2 linked regions of the Mus musculus genome follow. The protein of the gene in region 2 interacts with the protein of the main gene of each other region in a biochemical or structural test. Links are inferred from orthologs where the notes say so. Each region holds a gene or a part of one and is shown on either strand. Other genes may lie near its edges. The genes, in order: Arhgap1 and Bnip2.

Region 1 (12,470 bases), on a different chromosome or scaffold from region 2:
TTGCTGAGCCTCCTTTGGCTGGAGTCTCCAGCAGCTCCATGGCCAACAATGTGTCTGCTTCACCCTTTGCCTGAGAGACCTTATTGCCAAGGTTTTGTTTCCTAGCACCTGAGTAACTGTAAAGGCCCTGCCAGGATCCCAACACAAGTCAACAGCTCTCCCCAGCTCTGGCTGGCTCTGCTGTTTTCCTGGGTCACCAAGCCTGCCACTGAGCATTGCTACAAGAAATCAAACCATCAAAGCCTTGTGTCTCAAGGCACCTGAATCAAGGCCACAGCTGTGCAATGGAACTGCCTCCTTGAAGCTCGGGGCTAGTGTTTACAGCCACTATCTTAACACTGCTGTAACCAGTGGCTCTGGCTAGGCAGCTACCCTGGGCCACCATAGGCCACCATGACCTGATAGCAATAGGCAGGTATCTGGAACCTGCCCTTGACAACTGAAATTTGGGCAAAACATAAAAGTCAAATGTGATGGTTCAAGCTTGCAATCACTACATTCAAAAGAATCAGAACAAAGCCGGGTGCGGTGGCGCACACCTTTAATCCCAGCACTCAGGAGGCAGAGGAAGGTGGATTTCTGAGTTTGAGGCCAGCCTGGTCTACAAAGTGAGTTCCAGGACAGCCAGGGCTATACAGAGAAACCCTGTCTCGAAAAACCAAAAAAAAAAAAGAGAATAGAGACCAACCTGGCTGCAGAGGGAGACCAAGTCTCAAAAAACAACCCACATAAGATATATCTTGGATGTGATGATGCACACCTTTGATCCCGGCAGACCTCTAAATTCCAGGCTCAAAACAAACCCTTTTCTAGTTTTCGGGATGAGATCTACATTCTTGCCAGGTGTTCTGCCAGTCTGAAAGTAACCCTTCTAAACCAAGCAAGGGCATGGTGTCACAGAAGCAGGCAGATCTGAGTTCAAGGGCAGCCAAGGCTACACACAGAGAAACCCTGTCTCAAAAGTCCCACCCTCGCAAACGCACAAAAGGCTCTTACCGGGAAGATTCAGGATTGGTTCCCAACTAAGACTATGTCTATGAATGGCTTATGCCTTTAATCCCAGCATTCAGGTGGGCAAATCTCTGTTGAGTTTTAGGCCAGCCTGACCTGCATAGTTTTAGAAGGCTAGCCAGGGTCACCTAACTAGATACTCTATATAACTCTGGCTAGCCAGGGTCACCTAACTAGATACTCTATATAACTCTGCCCCAGTTGCATGTGATTTTGGAAGTGTGCAGAAGATGAAGGCTGACTAAAGGAGGGACCCCATCTGTGCAGTTCCCACAGAGTCCTCTGGGACACAGCTTCTTGAGATCACAATCCTCAAGCAGACTTGGACTGATTTTTTTTTTTTGGACATTAATTGGTACCTTATCTGGAGTACAGGTTTGTTCATATTTCCCCGAGAAAATTTAGCAGACAGCAGATGGACTAAGGAGGGGACTCCCTAAAGCTCTCTTTCTCAACTATACCATACTTCCTGTCTGGTTGTGAATTTCAGGGTCTTACTTCCTAAACAGCCAAATGGGTTTTTTTCATTTACATTTTTATTGAAATACAAAAAGTGCAAACGGTAAAATACATGATTGGTGCCAAGGAAATCGTGGTAAATGTGAACACTAGATTCACAGTAAGAGCGTCCCCTGCCACAGACTGACAGGACCGGGCAGGAGGAAAACAAGAGGTCCAAAGGCTCCTCAGTAAATGGAGTGTAGCAACACTTGATACAAAAATGTGGGCAAAAGCAGAGTGACCCAGGCTGGGTCAGGTGTGAGGCTGGGGACTGACAGCAGCACTTGTGGCACCAGAGACCTGCTACAACAGTGGTGCAAGAAAGAGCCAGTGAGGTCAGGCCCAGCCTCAGCTGCAAGATCATCAGTACAGATCTCATGGTAGCCAGTACCACCTCTGGAGCTGTCATGCCTAGCCACACCTGTAGGGCAAGGTCACTGCAGGTACCTCCCTGTCATTAGGCAGTGGACTTCGGGAAGAGTCACAAGGCTTCATTAGGAATAGAATGAAAGCTACCAATCATCACTGGGGCTCAGCTTTCTGAAAGACAAGAGGCCCTGTGGCCACCACACTCCCCTAAGGAAGCTGCTAGAACCTATCCAGCAGGGGTGATCTATTAGTAAAAGCTCTGTCAGTCTTCAGGGCTTCTGAGTTTCTGACTCTCCGAGAGTCCCCAGGTAGAAAGTGAGAGACATTGGTATCTCTGGCTAGAACAGGGATCAAAATGACTCCACACCTGAAAGACCTACTATAGCCTTTGGCTGAAGATCTGTGCACATGAGAATGAATGGAGGGCCAGGACTGCTGTAACTGATCCTACCAGACACTACGGCTCTCCCTGGGAGTGGACAGGACCATTTCAATAGACACTCAGATTCTGAGTCTTGATATCCAAAGTGCCAAGTGTGGCAGAAATGAGGGAATAGTACACTCTGGGGGCAGTACCACTTGGGGAAGAACAGACCCAGGAGGCAGAAGTGACAGGCCAACTCTGGTCTTATCATCCCTATTAGCAGGGAGGGCAGGCACAGGGAACTTGCACCCAGGCCAATGCTCACTTCCTAGCAATCAGGAAAGAGAGGACCAGCCCCAGCTACCAGCACAGCCAGCAGTGATGTAGTCTTCTACACTCGCCAGGGAAACAGGCAGGAAAAAGGAAAAGGTTTACTGTGGCTAAATCCTAGAAGAACCAAGCCCAGCAACCAGAGAGGCAGTGAGAGGTATAAGGCAAAGAAAATGTCTTACGGTAACAGAGGCCTCCAGGGCCGGTAAGGTGGGACGGGCAGAGGGACAGGAGGGGCTGCCCAGTTAGTAGGCTCCAACTTCCATCTTCTGGGGCTTCAGGGCCCCTTCCTAGGCAGGAGCCCTGGACTCCAGTAAGGTTAATGCCAGGAGGACAAGTCCAACTCGGGCTGCCAGAGAAGGGGCTGGAGGTGGTGAGCTCAGACCCCCTGGGCATCTGTGCTGGGGAACAATTCCCCTTGATGATCCAGGAGGAACTTAGTGAAGGTGTTGATGGGATTGATAGCCTTGAGGGTGATGGCAGCATCTTTAGCCCAGAGCAGGTTAGGGCCGAAGACTACAGCCAAGTTAGTGTTGGTCATCTTGTTCTGGTCACAGTGGGCAGATATCTGTGGAAGGAAAGGGCTGCAGCTAGAATCTCTGGCCTCTGCCTCCTACTCCCAGCAGCTCCTTCCAGAGCATCCAAGCAATGAGAGCATCTCCTCCCCGTCACCTCACCAGGTGGGCTGAGGAAGCCAGGGGACATCTCACCTGCACCAGGAAGGCAGTCAGGAAATGAAGCACCTGGTAGTTCTCCTCTGGCAGAGTTTGGAGAACCTGCTGTGTCACTTCCACTCTCTGGCTTTCATCAATATCTGTGAAGAATAGAGGTCTAGGTTACAAGGGCATAGGACTAGCTTTGGAAACCTTGATATGATGAGCCTAGCAGGGGGAACCCCAACTGAAATTCCTAGGAGCTGCTCAGGCCCACAAGCCTGCGGGGCAGGGCGAGAGAAGGCTCAGTGCCAAAGGATTTGCACAGCTGAGGAGGAAAGAGAGAACTCACTGAGGAAGCCCACAACATGGGGGTACAGGTCAAAGGTTAGCAAGGGTTCAGGAAGCTCCCGAAGGAATGTCTTGAGGATGACAGCGGGCAAGTGCAGCTCGTTGTACTGGTCAAAGTCCACCGGCAGCCCTTCATGGGGAAGAAAAAGATTGAGAGAGCACTAGGCAAGCCAGGGGCCAGCAGGCCATGCCTCACTCTGTCCTTGTCCACTGCCCAAGCTGCCTTTCCCCAGGACACCCCATACATCTGCCTCTTCTCTTCTGTAACAAGGGATGACTCAGGCCACCCAGAGCCTGAGGTCACTGTCATACAGGACAGTTACTCCTCTACATGAGCTTGAACCCAAGGCTGCAGCCCCTGAACGTGAGGCAGCAAACCTGGATCGTCCAGGCAGAAGTAGGACCTATGTGGCCATACCAAAGGACACAGAAACGTCTGGCCAGAAGAAAACCTGGGACATGTTAACAGCCCTCAAACTCCCAGCATGCCTCACCTTCTCAAACACACACCGAGACCCCATCAATGTGCACACACAGCCCACTCACCCATATTGTATTTCTGCTGCACTTCCCGGACAACCTGGGTGTTGGCAGACCTCCGGAAGATGCCCTCAGTGGTGAGAGCTGGAAACCAAGGGGGCCTGGTGAGTCTCAGCGCTCTGGGGGATGGAGCTCCTCCCTACCCTATCAGTCTTGGAGTTCCAAGAAGGGTCATTGGGAGCGCACTTCTCTATGCCCTGCCCAGAGTTTCTCAAGGGCAGCTGGGTGACGAGGTGGCTTGGCTTCAGCAGGCCTTGGACTGCATGGCACTCACCGTGAGCCTGCAAGTAGGCGACGGTCTCCCTGAGGACAATGGGAATGGGGTCCTGGCCTGGGCTTTTCTCCTGGAGGCTGAGGGAGCAAAGAGGTGAGCTGGGGTTCTGCATACTGGTCCACCCCCACCCCACCCCCAGCCTGACATGCCTGGCTTTAGCATACTCACTGCTGTAAGGAGACCCCAAACTGCTGATTGGGCAGGGGGGGCCGTGGTGGCATGGGCTTGGGAGCTGTTGCAGGGCTTTTCTGTGTGGATTTGAGGAAGTCATCATACCTAGGGGAGCAGATGGAACAAGGGTCAGGCCCCCCGGCTCTGTAGTCTTGTAGCCAACTTTATCAAGTCTTCACTGTGTGATTTTACACGCATTATTTCCTATGTCCTCAAAATAGTCCCACTTGATGTAACGCAGCAAAAAACACTCTAAAGAGATTTAGTCAACAGCTTGTGACAGAAATGGGGTTCCATCTATCTCTGGATCTTGACACTGCCTTTCTCCAGTTTCCCCAGACTCCTGACTCCCACCCAGGTTACTCTGCCTCCCAAACAACACAAGCACACAGCTGACCAGTGGACCCACAAGTCCCCCCTTCCCCCTGCGCACCCAGCTCTCGGGCCCACCCTGCTGTCTCACTTGAGCACTTGGCGAGGGATCCCCAACTGCTCCAGCTTCACGTGCTCGCTCAGCTCACTCAGGTAATTCACGTAGAAGATCTTCCGTCCAAACTTGAAACTGGAGGTAAAAAGAAGGATCTGGGTCAGGCTGGGTCTCACGGCAGGCCTTGGCCCTCCCTGCAGACAGGCTCACCCCAAGCTGGCCACCCTGGCCATCTGCCTGCTGTGTGAGGGGTACATGAAAAACTCAGTGGTCCACCTGTGGCCTGCTCACCTGATGAGAGGCTTAAAGAGGATAAGCAGAGTTTTGATGAACATGGTTGGGTGCACGATGTACAGAGCCTTGATGTTCTTCTTGTACCTGCAGGCCAAGTAGGAAGCTTGTGAATGGTGGAGGAAGGGGCAGAGCTGTTGGGGTCCTGCCTCCATTGATAAGGAGTAAGTTCCTGACTAAGAGAACCACCCAGAGCTCAGAGTTAGCCACCCTAGGCTCAGCCCATCCCTATGTCCCAACCCACTTGCGGTCAAACTCTCGGTAGGCATCCCGTAGCCAGCTGAGGGAGGGCTTGTTGTCACTGGTCAGGCCATGGTGCAGGTACAGGAGTGTGTAGTCACTCTCCACATACTGGTCCAATGTGTGTTTCAAATACCTTCAAGAGAAATGTCCAGGACTGGGGTTGTGGCTCTATGGTAGAGCAGTGTGTGAGCTACAAGTTTAATACCTAACATCATACACAACCTAGCATGTGTGAGCTACAAGCTTAATACCTAACATCATACACACAAAAGACCTGCTCAGACCTGCCCTCTGCACAACAGGTGTGGCCTGTTACCATAGAAACCAGTGCTTGCATCAAGGCTTCCTTCTCCTCAAACCCTCCCTGCTATCATTTGGCTATGTAATCCACAGCCGCTTTCCAGGAAGGAGGTAGAGGGTGGGCCTAAGGCAGAAGTGAGTATGCAAAAGCCCTCATTGTGAGCAGCAGCAGCAGCAGTCAGGGGCCCTGAGCTGCAGACCGGGCTGTGTAAGCACAGTTGACAGGGTTTGACATTGGAATCTCCATGAGGCAGTAACAAGCACAGTCACTGATATTGGAAAAAAGCTTTCAGTGTTTGCCAAGTACCTCTAATACCTCATTCTTCCCTCGGAACAACTGAGGCTAAAGTTAACACATCTTACTAATGAGGGCAATCTGCAGAGGTCAAGTGCTTAGCCAAGGTTTCAGCTGTGGTAGGACCTAGTAGTGAAGTGACCAACTCCAAGACTGCACTCTAGACCTTGGAACAGTTCTGCCTATTTTATATGATCTGTGGTACAGTTTATAAAATACTGTGTTTATGAAAGGACATCAGGAAGACCAGAAGCTCAACTATTCCCATCCCTAGGCTCTTAATGGACCACAAAGCCATACGCCTCATGTTCCCTATGCTCACAGTAGGGTATGTACCCCCAACATACACACACACACACACACACACACACACACACACACACACACATACTCACATTGAGCACACTGGAAAGTTTGGAAGTAATGAACAATAGGGAGGGGGAAGAGCCTAGGGTAAGACCTCTTAGAAGACAGATAATCAATCAGCTCCTTGGCTCTAGTAGGGAAGCCAGTCTATGTTGGACAGGCACAATGCTAAAAACATCCAAAAGGAGGGAAGTCTGAGAGAGTGCCCAGTGGCTTGACTACCGACCTGCCCTAGAGTCAGAGGCCTAATGACTAGTCCCCGGGTGCAGAGCTGGACCAGCACAGGTAGGCAGGGCATATGTGTACTAATGCTAGATGACCAGATTCTGACCAGTATTAGACCAAGAATACTTGAGCCCTTATTCACACTTCCACACCGGAAGTTTACAAAGGGCAAAGGGCTGTCACATAAAACGATGGCATTTGCATTTAGGAAAGGAGCAAAGATGACAGTAAAGTGGACGACACCCTCATCCATGGATACATGCAGTAACCTTTGTGTGCAATAAAGAGATGCCTATCAGAAGCTGGGCAGCGCACCCCATCTCTGATCACAGAAAAGCATGTTGAGGACTCTTTCCTGAGGAAACAGAGGAGTAGAAGCATTCTTGTAGGAGACTGTTCATTCCAGAGTTTTATTACGGAAAAAACAACAACTAAGTAGCCAGCAAATTGTCCAGTATCAGGAGACTGGCTCAATAAATCATGGGACATCTATAAATAGACTATCTCACAGGATGCTTCTACAGGCAGGGCTAAGCTGTGAAGTCAGGCATCACAACAGCGGTCAGCCCTGAGGCAGACACTGGAAGAGCCAATTGGAAGTGGGGTGCGGATGGGGTGACACTGATAGGTATGGAGTTGCTGTTTTATTTTGTATGTAGGTTTTTCTGAAAAAAGGTCGCACTCTGTAGCTCAGGACATGCCAGGAACTCAAAATCCTCCTTCATAAGCTTCCCAAGTGCTGGGACTGAGGCCAGGCATCATCAGATACAGATTCACAAGGAACCAACCGGGTGCAGTGATGCTCAGGAGGCTGAAGGAAAGAGGGCACTTGAGCCCTTGTGTTTAAGGTCAGCTTGTGAAACAAAATGAGAGCTGCCTTGAAGATGAAAAAAAAGTAGTACACTATTTGTTACTTTTCTATGTGCATATTAGTGCAGAAGATGAAAAAACAACATGTTTTGTGTGGGGTTTTGGTAGTAAAAGGAAAGGCGGAGTTTCACTGCTTAAGAGTCTGCACTGGAACTTCTTTTTTTTTTTTTTAATGCCTTTTTGTTTATTTGTTTTTTAAGCTAAGACATTTAAATCTTTTCTTTTCTTTTTTTTTTTAAAGGTTTATTTATTTATTATATGTAAGTACACTGTAGCTGTCTTCAGACACTCCAGAAGAGGGCATCAGATCTCGTTATGGATGGTTGTGAGCCACCATGTGTGGTTGCTGGGATTTGAACTCCTGACCTTCGGAAGAGCAGTCGGGTGCTCTTACCCACTGAGCCATCTCACCAGCCCCGCACTGGAACTTCTTATGTAGACTACGTTGGCCTAGAACTCATAGACGTACAATTGCTTCTGTTTCCCAAGTGCTGGGATTAAAGGTGTGTACCCACTATGCCCAGCTAAATAATGGTTTTTTGTGGGGGGTGTTGTTGTTTTTGTTTGTTTCTTTGTGTACCCTTGTCTGTTCTATAACTCACTCTGTAGACCATACTGGCCCTGAACTCACAGAGATCCTCCTGCCTCTGCCTCCCAAGTGTTGAGATTAGATTCAAATCATGCACCACCACTACCCTGCTAAATAACATGTTTTTGGTTTGGTTGGGTTTGGTTTTTCGAGACAGGGTTTCTCTGTATAGCCCTGGCTGTCCTGGAACTCACTTTGTAGACCAGGCTGGCCTCGAACTCAGAAATCCGCCTGCCTCTGCCTCCCAAGTGCTGGGATTAAAGGCGTGCGCCACTACCACCCAGCATAACATGTTTTAAAGAATGTCTCTGAGAATGTTGTAGACACGGAAGATGAAAAAAATTATATAAGACATAAAAATGAATACAGTGGTTTTTTTTCTGGATGACAGGTCTGTGAGACTTCATAAATTTACAGTTTTTTTTTTCCTGAATAACTACTTATATATTTTTAACTTCCCAAAATTGCAATCCTCTAAAACTATGCATGCTAGATTTCATTATTACCCACAACAACTCTCTGAGGAAGACATCATGTAAACAGAACTCAGAGAGCTACCTCCAAGCACACAGCTAGTTAAAATACAGAGCTCTAGCTCAACTGGTATTTTCCATTTCAACCTCCTAGATCTGGGTGAGGAGTGGGGAAAGCCAAGTCTGATGTAACAGGACTGAAAACAGGGCACACAGAGCCAGTGGAAGCACAGTCTGCTCTCAGCAGGGATGGTGACCAGGCAGGCAGGGTGTGTGGGGGGTAGGCAGTGAGATGATGTGTCTGTCTATCTGTCTGGATGTGTGTGTGGTATGTGATGTGTGTGGTGTGTGTGTGTGTGTGTGTGTGTGTGTATGGTATGTATTTGATGTGTGTAGTGTATGTATGATGTGTGTAGTGTGGTGTGTGTCAGTATGTGTGTGGGGGGGAAGTAGGGAATGGGATGGTGTGTGTGAGATATGTGTCTATGTGTGTGTGGTGTGTATGTGGTATGTATGTCTGTGTGTGATGTGTGTGGTAAGTGTGTATCAGTATGTGTGTGTGTGTAGTAGTAGTAGTAGTAGGGAGGTAGGGAATAGGATGGTGTGTGTATGAGACGTGTATCTATGTGTGTATGATGTGTGTCTGTGTGTGTGATGTATACGGTATGTGTCTTTGTGTGAGTGTAAGTGTGTGTGTGTGTGTGTCTGTATATGTGTGGTATATGCCTGTGTGTCTTTGTGGTGTATGTGTATGTGTCTGAGATGGTGTGTATAAATGTGGTGTGTGTCTCTATGTGTCTGTATGTATGGTGTGTGTGTGTCTGTGTGTGGTGTGTGTGTGTATGGTGTGTATCTGTGTAGAGTATGTCTCTATGTGTGTAGTATGTATGGTGTGTATTTGTATAGTGTGTGTCTCTATGTGTCTGTATGCATGGTGTGTGTGTGTGTTTGTGATGTGAGTATGTCTATGAGGTGTGTGTGTTTGTGTTTGTCTGTGTGTGGTGTGTGTGTATGGTATGTATCTGTTTAGTGTATGTCTCTATGTGTGTAGTGTGTATGATGTGTATCTGTATAGTGTGTTTCTCTCTCTCTGTGGTGTGTGTCTGTGTGTGTACAGTATGTGTATGGTGTATGTCTGTGATGTGTGTGTGTCTGTATGTGTGGTGTGCGTATGATGTATGTCTGTGTCTGTGAATAGAAGGAAGACAGGCAGCTGCAAATTGCCCAGGGATTCTTGAGACTAAAGGAAAACCCCAGATAGGCACAACTTCCTCAGCAACTGCCCCTAAAACCAAGGTGCTTTCCAACTGCCTAGGACTTCCCTCACTGGACCTAATACCTGGCCGCAAGTCTGCTACCTGGTACACCAGGCATGGCACAAAAGCTAGAGGGGGTTTGTAACTCAGCGTCCTTAGGTTGAACTCTAAGGTGAGGATTCCTGGCTGGACATATGATGGCCCTCCAACCAGACTCTGCCTGCTCTATCTAAGGAGCCAAGGAAAGAGAAGTCACAGGGTGGGGTGGGGGACGGACAGATGGACAGACAGACAGCACCCGAGGCCTTATAGACACAGCACAAGGAATGAGCTTCTGCCTCACCACGGGCCAGCTGAGCCTTTCTTCTGTGGTCCTCAAGCCTGTCCCCGAGATCACTACAATCCTCACGTGCACAACATTCAGGGTGTCAAGGAGCTACTGTAGGTGGTGCACATACGTCACATGTTAGAGAGCACTTTAAACTGGCCAGGAAAACGGACATGATGGCCACTCTGAGCACACTGACAGCAGTTTCTACCCTGCTTCAACCATTCTCCTTCAAACACTGGTGGTTTGAAGGATAATGGCCCCTACAGGTTCATGTATTTGAATCCTTAGTCACCAGAGAGTAGAGTTTGAGGAAGATTAGAAGGATCAGGTGTGACCTTGTTGGTTTTTATTTTATGTGTATGGATGTTTTGCCGGCTGGAATGTCTGTGTACCATATGCATACAGGACTTGTGGACGCCTGTAGAACGCATCAGATCCCCTGAAACTGGAATTAGACTCTTGTTAGCAGCCACATGGTTGCTGGGGATTGAACCAGGATCCTGTGGAAGATCAGTCAGTGCTCTTAACCACTGAGCATGTCTACATGTGAGTGTGTTTCCCTGTTGCCTACAGATCAGGATGTAGCTCTCAGCTACTTCTCCGGCGTGGCATCATGCCTGCCTGCCATGCTCCTTACCATGATGACAACAGTCTAACCCTCTGAAACTGTAAGCCAGCCCCTAACTAAATGCTTTCTTTTATAAGAGCTGCCTTGGTCATGGTGTCTGTTGACGGCAATAGAGAAGTGACTAAGACAAGCAGCCTTTGGACTTGTGCTAGGAAAGATTCTAACATACATATATGCTAAGCAGACACCCCACAGGTACAAAAACCACTGACAGCAAACTTGGCACAAAGTAAGATAATGTTAATTATGATTATAAATAGAAATGATTAAGAATCAAGATTACATCAGAAATACCAGAGTTATACATATTTGGATATATTTACTTTTCAAGATTATTTTCTGGTACATTATCTCACTCCTGTCAAGAAAGAGGCCACAGGCTTCATTATCTTCTCTGAATGACGAGAAACTAAGGCTCTAAGATACTTGCCAAGGTCACAGTCTCTAGGACTCTGACTCCTTGTCTAGTCCTAGTGCTCTCCCCCTTAAGGATGAGAGGTCACATTAAGGAAGGAAACCTGGTTGGGGGGGGGGGGCGTAGATGAAGGGAAATGGCTCCAGGCTACTCAGGATCTAGAGAGGTGCCACCCCACTTCCCCACAGGTACTCACCCCAAGAGCTTGCTGTGGTCCAGCTGGTGGCTGGGGGGCATCCGGCAAGCACTGAATACAATGATCTTCCGCCCATACTTATCATCACCTGAGTGTGAAGAAAGATGGAGTGCAGTGGGTGAAAGGTGGACCAGAGTAGTGGGCGGGGCTTAGCAAGTACCCACCTGGGGCCTGTGTCAGTGAGTGTAGGGGCTTGAGAATCTCATGTCCATTCCTCAAGGGCATGCTGGGTGCAGTTGCTTTCAGGGGCACTGAAGTGGGGCAACCTCCCAACAAATTTTAACCTTGCTTTTTTTTTCTCATTAATATTTGTATTGATTATTTGAGAATTTTCTATCCTGGAACCTGAGCACACTCACTTCCCAGTCCTCCCAGGTCTTCCCTGCTGACCCTGTGGATCTCCCCCAACTCTTTCTCTTTCTCAACTGTGAGTCTGCATCATCGATAGCTTCCTTGTTCTTCACAGTCATCATCAGGAACACAGATCACAGACTTACACATGTTAACCTTGCTCTTTAACCCAGTCATGGTGACATACACTTGTAAACCCACACTTTGGAGGTAGAGTCAGGAGGATCAAGAGTTCAAGACACTTAATAGGTCCAAGGCCAACCTGGGATACTTAAGATCTAGTCTCAAAAAAAAGTCACATTGAAACTGAGTAGAGTGGTGTGGTATGTGGTGAGGACCTTTAATCCCGGCCCTCAGGTTGCAAACAGAAAAAACTAAGTTTGAGGCTAGCCTTGTCTGCATAGCAAGTTCCAAGATAGCAAGGCTATATAGTGAGACCTTGTCTTACTAAGTAAAACCAAATAAAACCATGTTGAAAGAGTAGTGGACGTGAAGGCCACACAGTCATCAACAGATAAACATGTGAGGATATAACCCAGCTGATAGAGTGCCTGCTTAGCTCAGCGTGCAGGAAGCCCTGGGTTTGAGTCCTACTGCCAAGTAAACTAATGCTGATAGTTACATCTGTAATCCCAGCATTCAGGGGGAGA
Region 2 (13,116 bases):
TACAAAAACAAAGTCTTACATGCACTTTACATTTAAAATCGTGGTCTTATTTACGTGTATATATTCATCCACGAGATAGGTACACACTAAAAATTATTGCCCCCAACATAAAAAATATATATTATTTCTTTCCTTTGTCATTTATGTATATAAATACTTTACTGAAGATGCATCATTCAAATAAACAAATGTAAAAATTGCTTTTTATAAAGTGTAGCTCTTTACTATTTAGCAATATAAAATGATTACAATATAATTAGTCATTAAAGAGCTAAATTCAAGAGTTGCAAACCATGACAGCAGTGAACAGTCCCTTGTACAAGAGTCCATTTGGAAAGAAGTCAAGTAAAATTTGCAACCGATTACATAAACACATGAGCCATGAGTGCAATAGGATGCACTACAGCCCCGCCTCCCCGGTGCTCTCTCTTGTCCGGGCTGGACACGGAACTTACTGCTCACTTTTTGGTGGTTCTTGTTTTCCATTAAGCTCTTGATCAACTCTGTTCAATGAAAAAACACAGCTATTTAAAAACAGTCATGACACTGGCAACTGGATGATTTCTTTCTGAAAACTACTTTTAGCACAGATGATTCCGTTAAAAAAACAAAGCTTTGCAAACAAAACAGATAAGTAGAAAAAAAAAATCAAGCAAACATTTCCCAAAAGGAACAGAATTTTTCTAAGCAACAGGACACTGGCAAGAATACATTGTCACTATTTTTTTTAAGACCACAGGATACTTTATGTTCACAGCCATAAACATTCTGAGAGCTGATAACTGATATAATTCCACTAAAGCAAGAAGTTTAGTGAGTAGGACTGCTGACAGAAAAATCAACTCTCTCAAAAATGATTGTTAACTGAAATTTAAATGTGTCATTTAAATCACCAACTGACCAATTAACATTTTTAAAATCCAGAACCAAATTGTGTCTTACAGAATAGCAACTATACTATTTTCTGGAATTCACTGGTACACTGTGTGTGAATGCTGTTCATTTATTATGAAAGTAAGCCATATGGACTCAACATTCAGAAGTATCTATAACAAGTTAAAAAATCTCACTGGATTAATGGTTGGTTGGCCAGAGGTACTAAGAAAATGTAGGCACATGGAGATGAGAAGATAATGTAACAGAACTGACTCTGTAGTAGCTTGAATGGCTGGTGTGAGATATATAAGTCACACTAGTACACAGCAGGATGGTTCTTTTTCACACCTGTTTCCATACCTACAATTACCTAAATATCTGTCAATCAAAAGTAAAAAGGCCAGAACTGTTGTAAAAATATATTATCTTGGCATCAAAGATTAGCTAATACTCTTGTTAAGGCCTATAATATACAACTGATTTTTTAAAGTATGAACTACTATTAAGAAGTAATTGTAGGCACTGTTGAAGCATGACAGCTGCCTGGCCACAGGACACCACATTTCAGAAAGAAAACAGGTAAAACATTTAAAAGGACTATACCTCAATCCTTAGTTCCTAGCAAATACTAGGAATGCCTGTCCAAGTTCCACTTAACAGATGCTTGCCACAACTAACCCTCCCCCCCAGTTTTATCTTAAACATATTTCTGTATTTAGAGATAATTAAATATTTCTCAAATCATCTTTTTAATACTAAAGGAAGTTTTATATGAATTAAGGGCTGAAAGACATCAGTAATGACACTACTGAGGAATGAACACAAGCACAATGGGAAACAATGCAAGATAAATGACTACATTTCTTTTTTTTAGCAGGGGAACATAGATTAAGTGAATGCTTTCAAATGACAAAAGTAAAACATTAAGTTTCACTTTTTACGTGATGCCTGGATTACCTATGACAGCTGATAAAATACTAAAACCTTTTTAAAAGGGGTATTACCAGCACATTTCCTCATCAGAAGCATTTATATATACAGGGTCCCCTCTTCCCCCTCTCTCAACCCCCCCCCCCCAGCTCCTGAAACTCACTATGTAGATCTGGCTGCCCTCAATTCACAGAATCTGCCAGTTTCTGCCTCTCAAGTGTTGTGATTAAAGGTATTTGCCAGCCCCAACTCCCAGTAAGTCATTTTAAAGTCTAGAAAGTAGGTGGCTTCCAACTACTATCTATAATTATCGATGCTATTTTGAGTTTCATCCATTTGTCAGGCATATACACAGCACTGCCTAGAGAAGCAGACCCTACTACCCAAGCTACTAGTTACATACTGCTTTACACAAGATTAGTGAATCTTGTTTAAACTGGAAAGTGCTACACAAAAATAACTCTTAAATGGTTAGCTGAATTCTCACCAAAAGAATCACACTGTTCAAAATTAAGACTACACCAGCAAAGATTCTAACTGGCCCCACAGATGGTTAAAGTAACATATGTACGTCTCTCATCTTAGTCTCTAAGATCATAGTAAGTGACATTTGCTAATGCTGTTGTTACAATTTAAAAATAAAATGAAATCTACTAACAGTGGGTGTGGTGGAGGAGAAGCACAAGCTCACAGTTGGATACTGAAGCAGAAGACTGTGAAAGAGAGGCCAGCCTGAGATACGGAGTAAGACCAGCTCCAAAACTAAACAAAAACTCCCGAACTAAACTATGAATAAATCAGGACCAAGGCTTTTCTAAACTACTATATAAAATGATAAACTATTTTATGCTCTGCCTTTCATCTTTATGCTAAGACATTAACAAATGAAAGGTTGTTACACTCAAAGCAGAAGTGTTCAAAATTAAATTTCAAGTAGAAAGCAGAGTGTTTAACTGTTAAATGGTACACTGAATTTAGGTATTTTATCACATGTAGAGTTTGACTGGTTAGCAGGCTATTTAAGCATATAGAGAAAATCAATGTTGGTTAGCCAAAGAGTATATGCATTGCAAATATAATCATCGACCCCAAGGGAATAAGCTGTTGCTTGAAAATGTCTGTTTATCTACTTCAAAAGCAAAATGCTAAAGTTTTCAAAGGCCTGGGATTTTAGCCAGGGCTCCCAGTCACTTCTCTGGGTTCAGCACACAGAGCAGGAGAGCTCTGATACGACACACACGTTAAGCATGCTCATATTGAGCACGAGGAGCTTGGGGTTTGCCCTGTCCTCGGCTCTGGGCGACATTTATATTTACAAATGCTAGTCTCTGTTTGCAAGCTAACCAACTAGCAGCAGGGTTAGTCTGTGCAATGCAAATGGACTAGTCTAGATGCAACCCAGTCAAGGTGTGCATGTACCTTTTTTGTCTCTTTTTAAACTTTTCTTCTTCATACCTTGGTAGGGAAGAGTTATTTCAGTAAATGCACATTTTGAGATTAAAAAAAAAAAAGACTGAACGTGTAACTGTGTAGGCACAAATATGAAATGCTAACATTTAACATGATGTAGTGACTACAAACCAACTTGGTAAATCTGGTTTGGAAATACTTAAGCCTAAACCCTGAGACCAACAGTAACAGTCAGAGAAATACTGCACCACAGCACTGTGATGCCACTGCTCAACCAACAGTCTCTCCAAGTCTCTTAGAAGGCAGGCGGAAGTGAACGATGAAACAGAAAATTCTAGTTTCTGGAAAATATTAAGACCAAGCTGATTTAATCAACAACTCGTTTCTTTAGCAATGAGTTCTTTCAGTAATATGATAAACTCACTCCATGTGAGAGTGTAATACGTCGAGCAGAAAAGTTACTCTACAGGACTGCCTTTTCAGGAAGTCATCTCTCGGACTGTAAACAGCACTTAGCGTACAGAAGGACTCATGAGTGGCCATCACCTCCAGTTCTGTAAACATGGTGCTGTGAGGGGAAGCTGTGGGGTTCCTTACAAACCCTGTGTTCTGGAATACCGTGAGAGGGAAAAGCATTCCCCTTGCCCACAACCAGGAAGGGAAGGAAAGCAGGGCAGACGTACTGTTTGATGCACTCTGGTATGCCGACATACTCCATGGGAACAAGCTCTGCCAGCTCGGCCAAGTTAAAGACGTATCTGATCTTCTGACTGAACTTTGAACTGGGGAAGAAAACACAAAACAATTATCTCCGTACTTCTGACTCATAAATCTGACATTTAAATACAAGATACTTTTTTTTTAAATGGACACTCAGAAAATTACCTGATAAATGGTCGTGTAACAGCCAGAAGTGTTCGGATAAACCAAGAGGGGTGCACAATGATTAGAGACTTAAGGTTTTTCCTTAATCTGAAGACAAAAAGAAAAAAAATTATACAAAATTTCTACAAATTATAGCACAAAAAAGTTAGATATAAATAAGTATAATGCAAATTTGTACAAAATAGATGGAAAAAAAAGTCACCAACAATTTTCATTCAAGTGTAACATTCTAAAGACAAGAAAATACATTCCTGAGTTCTAAACATCCCTCCGATGCTGTGAAATAGAGTTTATTTAATTTGTCCAAGTTCATGGCTTACTTTGTCTGCTTTCAAATGCCTGCTAGCATTTCCTCCTCCGGCAAGGAAAGCTGATACTGAACATGAAAGAAAGTAAACCATCTTTTTCTGTTCAAATCTAGGGAACAAGTGGCATTTGCTTCTAATATCATGAAAAGCACTAGCTTGTAAGGGGGATGGGCAGAGAAAACCAAAGGAGTGAGCCAGGAGTCAGACTCAATAACACTTTGAAATTTAAAAATGTTCACTATAAAGTAAAAGCTTCTTTTTAGATATTTGTATGTATTAAAAAAAAAAACAATCACAGAAGATAGTGAACATGTTTTCCTAGGGGAAAAAAACAAACCCTATTAACAAGTCAGGGTAAACCACTTGAATCAACGAAGGCAACACTGAACCATTAGCAAGATTAGAGTTGCTTGATTGGTGTGGACAAATGAGTCTCAAGATAACACATTTTTAGTGATTGTTTTAAAAAACTATAGCTGGAAACCTGAGAGATGGCCTAGTTGGTCCAGTGCCTGCAGTGTAAGCATGGGGACCCAGGTCTCATTCCCCAGAACCCAGATAAAAAAGAAGAGAATGGTGTGGTACATAATCTCAGTGCTGGAACTCTCTAGGTACCTGGCTTATCAGCTCGAGGTCTGAGCTAGAGACTGTCTCAGCAACAAAGAGGCCAGCATCTGAGTAGTAAGCTTAGTGACTCCTGACGTCTACACAGAACTTGTGCACCTGCACTGGCCCCACAGGACAGTACACAGCAGAGGGACATTGTCCAACCTTTTCCAAGATGAATACTAAATAATGTGTTCTAAACGGCATAAGGAAGAATGGAGAGCAATCTTGTGTGTTTTGAAGAATTAAAGTCATTCTTACTAAAAGCAGACTCAAGTTACTCGCCATGACATTGTTAAGGGCCATCTTTAAAAAAATAAAAACATTCAGAAGTTGACAAGTAAAACCGAAGAAATTGATGTTATCTTTAAATGGCAACAGAAAGAATACTTTAATCTAATAAAACTACTGTAAAAATCTCTCAGCCAGGTCTACATCACCGTCTATCAATTTGCTGGTAGCATCTCCTGAGCCATCCCAAACTGGGCATTTTTCTTCGAGTTGTCGCACCATTTAAGTAAATGATCATGTAGTTCTCTGCTACCAACAGCTCTAAAGTGCCAATAACATATCTATAAAAACAAATTAAGTATATGTCTTAGACATCACCATTCAGGACCGAACAGACTCCCAAATAAACACAGTTCCCCCCCTCTTCCACAGTAAGAGCAAGCACGAGCAGTAGGTGATGGTGGGACTATTTAAAACAAAGTCACAACAAATCCTGCAGCCTGCATGGCACTGTGTGTGGTCAGGGGACAGGTGGGACTAGGCACTGCATGCTCGGCTTCTCTCTGTGTATACTCGAGAGCTTCACAGTACAAAATGAAAAACTTCACTAAGCCAAGAAAAAAGAGTGGCTTGTCAGCTCACAAGGTCAAGTCCCAGGGATATAAGTAATTTAGTCATATAATATTGAGATGGTCAGTTACCTTTTTAAGCAATGTTTCCAAATACTAAAGTTGGATGAGATAATCTATACTAATTTTAAAATGCAACTTTTTTCCACCGAGTTGGAAAATATAGTTCCATAATGCTAAAAAATGAAGACCTGGGGACTCAGAAGTAGGGTGACTTCTATATGTTGTTACTGTTATTGCCTGACGGAATATATATATATACACACACATACACATACATACACACACATATGCATGCATGCCAGGCCAGAGCAGTCACTGAACTGTATCCCCAGTTCTTCTTGACATTTTATTTTGTCGCAAGGTCTCATTCGGTTGCCCAGGCTGACCCTAACTTTGATCTGTATAGAGTGTGGACATGCCATCAACTTGTGATCCTTTTCCCTTCACCTCCTGAATAGCTGATTATTGGCCTGTACCATCAAGCTGGCTTCTTTCTTCTAGTTTTCACAAGACTTGCATAAATTATGAGTCTAATCAGTTCAGAATTCTGTTCAAACATCTTGTTAAGATACAGTTCCTTAGGAAGGCAGTGGTGGCTCATGCCTTTAATCCAGCACTCAGGAGGCTGAGGCAGGCAGATCTCTATGAGTTCAAGGTCAGTCTGGGCTACAGAGTGAGTTCTAGGACAGCCAAGGAGACACAGAGAAACTATCTTGAACACGGCCCCCCAAAGCCATACTTACTTAAAGAGATTGTCCATCAAATATCTATAGTTAGGCTGACCACTCTCAGGCATGAAACAGACAGCAAATACAACAATGGCATTTAAGCCGTCCCCATAATATCCTGGGAAGAAGAAAGAAGGGTAAAAAGTCTTTGGCATAACTTTATTCTATAGGATTATCATTTTTAACTCTGTATATGTGACTGCAGAGCTTCCAGGTGTACAATGACTATAGGGCTGACCAAGAGATGCAGCTGGCAAAGCAAACTAAGTAGGAACAATTTTATAAAAAAAGCTCATCTGGCCAGATTATAACACATTTTATCCAGAGTGAACTGCACTCTGACCAGGAACATGTGAACACTATTTTGCACAGCACCTAGGAGAACTCCTAAACTGTATGGTCAGAATAACAGAGTGACAGCTTACAGTTTTTGACTGACCTGCAAGTCTCCTAGGGGGAATGGACAATTTTTGTGTATCTCCAAAATGAAACAAACAGTGCTCCACTGAGCTAGGTGAGTTGTGAATGAAAAGCTGAAGTCAAGTCAAGCTTCCCAAAGCCCAAGAGGAGGCTTGTGTCAACACAACAGCATCTCAGTCACATACCAAACTGCAAACAACTCCACAGCCAACACTGTAGCGATGCACACAGTTTACCTGGGCCATGAAATATTCAGTGTTAGAGAATAAGCTAAGCCATGGCATGGATGTAGCTGCTTAGAAGCATGCTGAATGCCGAGGAGTGCACGCTGAGACCAGTCACACAGCGTTCCTTAAGAGGCAAAGCTGGCTGTGGGCTAGATTGTGAGCAGTGCTTATTAGAGAGGATGGACTCACTGGAAAGGTGTAGAGATTAAAGTTAAATGTTCTATGTGAGTGTGGATTATACCTATGTGTGCATATATGTAAATGTTTAAATATACTGAGAGACATACAAGCTTTTGTTGAAAGTCATCTAACTGTATTAGTTAAGTAAACTAAGATAAGTCACATGTAAATGCTTGCAAAGGGTTCAAGAAACTAACTTCTTTTGAGTAGTAAACATACAGGGTGAAACTACTCTACTTTAAAAACTTAGAGTAAACATGTAAAAATACTGTTTAAAAGTTATTTGTAGGCGGCCATAGAGGCCATAACAATGTACCGAATCCCATGGAACTGGAGTTGCAGATGGCTGAGAGCTATCATGTGGGTGCTGGGAACTGAACTTGGGCCACTGGAGGAGCACCCAGTAATCTTACTGCGGACACATCTTCCCAGCTCCTATAGAAGTAATTCTTAGTTGTCCTTTTATCATTTTACTTCAAACCTTCCTAATCCTTGGGCTGGAGAGACTGCTCAGCAGCTAAGAGCACTGGCTGTTCTTCCAGAGGACTCAAGTTTGATTCCCAGTAACCACATGGAAGCTCACAACCATTTTCTAACTCCAGTTCCAGAGGATTTGCTGCCCTCTTCTGGCCTCCATGGAGACAGACATGAGATACCCAAGTGGTGGTGTCTAGACATACATACAGGCAAAACACACATCTACATTAAAAAAAATTAAAACAAAGTATTAAACCTTTGATATCAAAATGTCTGAGAATCTTTCTTTTTCTTTCAAAACAAGCTACTATGTCTAGGCACATTTTTGACAGCGTTAGATTTTGGACATTGCATGTAAAGACCCAGAGGGCCGCCCTAAGCCTCACCTCCATGGCTAATAACTTTTTTGTAGGGCTCGATCGCCTTCATGTCCACCCTGTGGTCCTGCTCTCCAATCCTGAACATGCGCCAGCGGCGTCCATCGCCCTTTTCTTCTGTGGCTGTGTACTCAGTAATCGAGCCTTTCCTAATGACTTCAGTAGTTTTGGGTTTGGGAAGATCATCTGTTAAAATAAAAGGCTTTTGAATCACAAACTGTTATTTACACAATAACAATCAAAACTGTATGTTAACCACTTTCCTATCGAGATTACTCCAAGTGTTTTCTGTTTCCTTCCTGGTGTGCTCTGGGCTCCCCAGGCTCGCCTCACACTTGTGGGCTCAGGTGATCCTGCTTTAGTGTCCAAGCATCTGGGAGTACAGGTGCACACCACCATAACAATTATTTACAGAGAATCTTCAATATATAAGCTGACATCATCACCTTTATAACAAGAAAAGGCTTGTTCTTACTTAAGGCCAATTTATGTCTTTAAAATCAGTTTACTTAAACTTTCTACTGCCCAATTCAACAAAGCACCAAGTTACAGTGCAACATTTACATCAGGCGTAGGAAAGACAGAGCAATCGGAATCTTACTACCTCGCATGCCTTTCCAGATTTCATTCAGGACAACAGTGTCCATCAGAGTTACTAATACATCTTACTTCTAGTAACTATCCGAGAGCCAACAGTTTTAGCACATACACTAATTACAAAACACTGTAATACAAGATAGAAAGTGGTTAACTACTCAGTGATCGTTTTCCCTTTGATCAGTTTTATAAAGCAGACATGTACTTCTGAAGAACACATGCAAAAATTTAGGTAAATTAACATTAGCCAAAGCTCCAATGATTATGTGTAATTTATGTTTGCAGATTGCAGGTTAGTTGATTTAAAATGAAGTAATGATTTTTAAAACTTTAGTATGCCAGTCCTTACCAAAAGATGGGGGGAAGGGAAACCTACTGCATGTTAGTTGTTTCCAAGACAAAGCTGTTAACGGAAAATATCCTTCCAGGAAATGACTACAGCAGCATTAAGGAGAAAAGAGACAAAACACACAGGCAGAAAACTATTTCAGTGTCTGTATAAAAGATTGCTTCTTACTGGGCTGCTTATTGAACCAGTAAAACAGGGAAGGGGAAAAAAAAAGAACAAAAGCTACAGAGTATCACTCTTCATTACCTATTGTCTATCTCTTTTAAGTACAGTTTTGTTGCAAAATTCACTTTAAAGATGAAACAAAAAGATTATTAATATCTGTCTAAATCTCACAATCAACTACTGCCTAGTTCTAGAACGCACACAAAACAAAACATACACCAATGCCTCTGCACACCAACTGCTTACAATCGCAGTGCCACACTGGGGCTAAGCACTCACTACTTCAAGGCGCAGCTTTCTAAGTACAGCCTCCTCAGCACCTTCTCTGCCGGTGCTTAGAGAGTTATTGTTATTATTTGTGACAGGATCTATGTCGTCCTGGATGTCACTGAACTTACTACGTAGACCAGGCTAGCCTGGAATTCAAAAGATCCTTCTGCTTCGGCCTCTGGAGGACTGGGGTTAAAGGGATGTGCCACCATGCCCAGCTCCATAGGTGATTTTTAGCATATTTTTTTAATATGTCTCTTTAGAGGACTCCCTGCCCCACCCCGCCCCCAGATTGACTGACAAGAATATACTAGAATATTAGGCAATACTTTGGAAGCAACTATGAAAAATCAAAACTATACAATATTGGGCAAGTAAGGAAAAACAAAACTAAACTAAAAGAAAGCTACCTTCATAATCTAGTCTTGAAAACTTCAAGTACTTTCAGAATCTTCTACTTTAGAAACAAATTTAGGAACTGCAGAAAAAATAACATATTTCAAACAAAATCCTTCAATGGATTTTAGCAGGCTTTATGTTAAGATTTGGCCATATCATACTTCTCCTAAAGAGAACACCATGGTAAACACTATGCAATATAAACATTCATTCACAAAGCTCATATAAAAAGAGTGAATTACCTTCCCACTCAAACTCATCACTGTTCTCTGATGGGGTGTCTAAGCCTTCCAGGTCAACCTCTCCAGCTTCATCCAAATCATCGGACCACAGAGAGTCTTCACCAGGATCCAGGGTCAGGCTGATGTCTGGGGCCATCAGTTTCTTCCTTACTTTGTTCCCATTAACTTCTAAGGAGCCTGAAATTGGAAACAAGGAAGAAGACTGGGCTACTCAGATGCTCCATTTCACAGAGGAACATTTTAGTCACTTCACTCTTGAGAAAAACATTTAAAAGAAAATTCCAAAATATTCATTAATAAAACCTGGTTGTGATCACCGCTGCTGCTTTCTAAAAGAAGATACATTTTTATTCTATTTGTTTTAATTTTATGTATATGGGTGTTTTGCTTGCATATATGTCTGTACACCACTTTTGTGCAGTGCCTAAGGAGGCCAGAAGAGTTCCAGGGAAACTGGAACTGGAGTTACAGATGGCTGTGAGCTACAATGTGGATGCTAAGAACTGAACCTGGGTTCTTTGCAGGAGCAGCAAGTGTTCTTAATTGCTAGGCCACCTCTCCATTCCCAATTTATTTTTAAGTATGTATATGCATGTGTGTCTCTGTGTGGTTATATGCACCTGAGTGCAGTGTCCACAGAGTCCAGGAGAGGGTAGCGGGCCAGGAAATTAATTAGAAGTACCATGAGATGTCTGAGTGGACTTGGAGAATGGCACTCACTGTCTCTTCTTAAAATAATTATTTACTACTGCTTCTTTGTCAAGAGATCAAGAATGTACCAATTTCCTTTTAAACAACAGAGGCCGACTTTATAGTCATTTATTAAATAGTCTTTTGCTCTTTGTAAAAATTTTGAAAACCAAAGGTTTATTTTTTATAAAGTTAAATTTCTCAAGGATTCCAAAATTTGTCCTTTGACCCCTCTCTATCAGGAAATAGAAAAAAAAAAGCTCAATGTTGTTGGTTTCTCTCTCTCTCTCTCTCTCTCTCTCTCTCTCTCTCTATATATATATATATATATATATATATATATGTAGAAAGAAATGTACTTAAAAGTACCACAAAGTCTTACCAGGCTGTCTGTCTGGATCAGTTCCATCTAGTGTATCTGCTTCAATGCTGTCATCTTCTGGTAAAGGTCTAGAAGACAGAGACAAGCTCTTTAACCCAGAAATTAAAAGCAATTCTTTTGACAAAGATCCACTAAAGTGTCACAGTTATAAGGACTAAACCTATGTTTCATAAGTTCTACAAACCAGCTTGTTGTGCGTGTGTGTGTGTTGAGGTCAAAGATAATCTCAGATGTTCCTTAGGGGCTGTCTACCATTTGAGACAGCATTTGTCACCAGCCTGGGATTAATCAAATAGTCCAGGCTAGCTGGCAGGCTGGCCTGGGGCTCTGGTCTCCATCTCCACAGTGCTGGGGTTACAAGTAGACACTACCATGACTGGCACTCTATTCATTTATGCAGAGAGCTGACAGCCCATTCCTCCAAAACCAAAGACTTTAGCTTAAAGCACAGCTCCCTAAAAACCTGAAGTTGAAATGATTAAGACAAATATGAAAAGATAACCAGCCACATATTTGGTGGAAAATAACTTTCATTTCCTAGTACCCAGTGATCACTTGGAACCTTCTTTTTAAAAAGTCCAACATTCAAGAGCTGACATTTCATTAAAGAAATTCTGATGTTTTGTTCTAAATCCGTTTAATAAAAAGTACTGCTCACATTGGAAAATCTTCATCCTGCCATTCTTCCTTCAGCTCCACACCTTCCATCCTCAGCCTAGACTCAATGTCAACTTCCAGCTCCTGGCAATCCAGGCAGCCAAGGTCCTGGGGGAGAAAGGGGAGGAAGAAAGATGAACAACAGTTTCATTTCCACTTTGCCCTTCATCTGCTGCAAAGGTGCAGCAATCTCTCCTGAAGCTCACATCTCCGTGCCAACAGCCCCAGCGGCTTTAGTTCAGTAGTCTGGTTATGAAACTTGACCTACTGCAGATAAATGGTGTCTCTCGCATAGAGTAGTAAATCAGCCTCTGCCCTCTGCACAGGGGTAGGACTAGAGGCGCACTAGCATGTTCCATGTACATGCCTACTCACCAGAGTCTGCCCTCTGCACAGGGGTAGGACTAGAGGCGCACTAGCATGTTCCATGTACATGCATACTCACCAGAGTCTGCCCTCTGCACAGGGGTAGGACTAGAGGCGCACTAGCATGTTCCATGTACATGCATGCTCACCAGAGTCCAGTGCTATGCAGTGTCTACAGCTCCTTCTCACCACTTCTAGGTCACTTAGAGTCTACTCAGGCGCTTGTCCAGTGGAGGAACTGTACTGATTTCTGATGTACTTCCCATTTGTACCATGCCTCTCTTGTAGAGCTCACTGCTCCAGCTACTGATGCTGTCACATATGCAACTATCTATTTTAAGTCATGCCCCAAAGTTTAATCTTGGTTTTTCTGCACTGACTCACCTTCTGTCTGACAGAGTAAGACAGCTGAGGTACGGTATAAGTCATGAAGGGAGGCTAGAGAGATGGCTCACAACCACTTGAGACCGCAGTTTCGGGGGGGGGCTATACACCCTCTTTTGACCTTCAAGAGTATGGCATGCATGTTGACAAAACACTCATACATAGAATACAAAATAAACAAATCCTAAAAAAGTCATGACTATTAGTCGGTAAAAAGTACCACAAAAACAGCTGGCAAATCACCGCAGCAGAGGTCCTCTGCCTGTCAACTCCTTACATCAGTAACCAACAGAGCAAGTCTCTACAGAGCACTGACACACAATTCTCT

What was found.
Region 1: the proteins of Bnip2 (region 2) and Arhgap1 form a complex in vitro, tested with the Homo sapiens proteins (2 studies listed by BioGRID). The link is inferred for Mus musculus from reciprocal best matches to the Homo sapiens genes BNIP2 and ARHGAP1.

Annotation. Positions count from the first base shown.
Region 1 is NC_000068.7:91,661,385-91,673,854, reverse strand, and holds the end of Arhgap1 (rho GTPase-activating protein 1), read right to left. Parts: intron 11,558-12,470; coding exon 11,470-11,557; intron 5,659-11,469; coding exon 5,527-5,658; intron 5,370-5,526; coding exon 5,283-5,369; intron 5,127-5,282; coding exon 5,028-5,126; intron 4,670-5,027; coding exon 4,562-4,669; intron 4,471-4,561; coding exon 4,394-4,470; intron 4,204-4,393; coding exon 4,126-4,203; intron 3,710-4,125; coding exon 3,581-3,709; intron 3,390-3,580; coding exon 3,286-3,389; intron 3,144-3,285; coding exon 2,955-3,143; 3' UTR 1,530-2,954; downstream 1-1,529. UniProt on the Homo sapiens protein: GTPase activator for the Rho, Rac and Cdc42 proteins, converting them to the putatively inactive GDP-bound state. Cdc42 seems to be the preferred substrate.
Region 2 is NC_000075.6:69,994,451-70,007,566, reverse strand, and holds part of Bnip2 (BCL2/adenovirus E1B 19 kDa protein-interacting protein 2), read right to left. Parts: intron 12,147-13,116; 5' UTR 12,090-12,146; coding exon 12,040-12,089; intron 11,450-12,039; coding exon 11,382-11,449; intron 10,487-11,381; coding exon 10,310-10,486; intron 8,474-10,309; coding exon 8,297-8,473; intron 6,725-8,296; coding exon 6,622-6,724; intron 5,588-6,621; coding exon 5,456-5,587; intron 4,189-5,455; coding exon 4,102-4,188; intron 3,999-4,101; coding exon 3,900-3,998; coding exon of another isoform or gene 3,746-3,899; exon of another isoform or gene 3,568-3,745; intron 3,262-3,567; coding exon 3,226-3,261; intron 525-3,225; coding exon of another isoform or gene 504-524; coding exon 452-503; 3' UTR 1-451.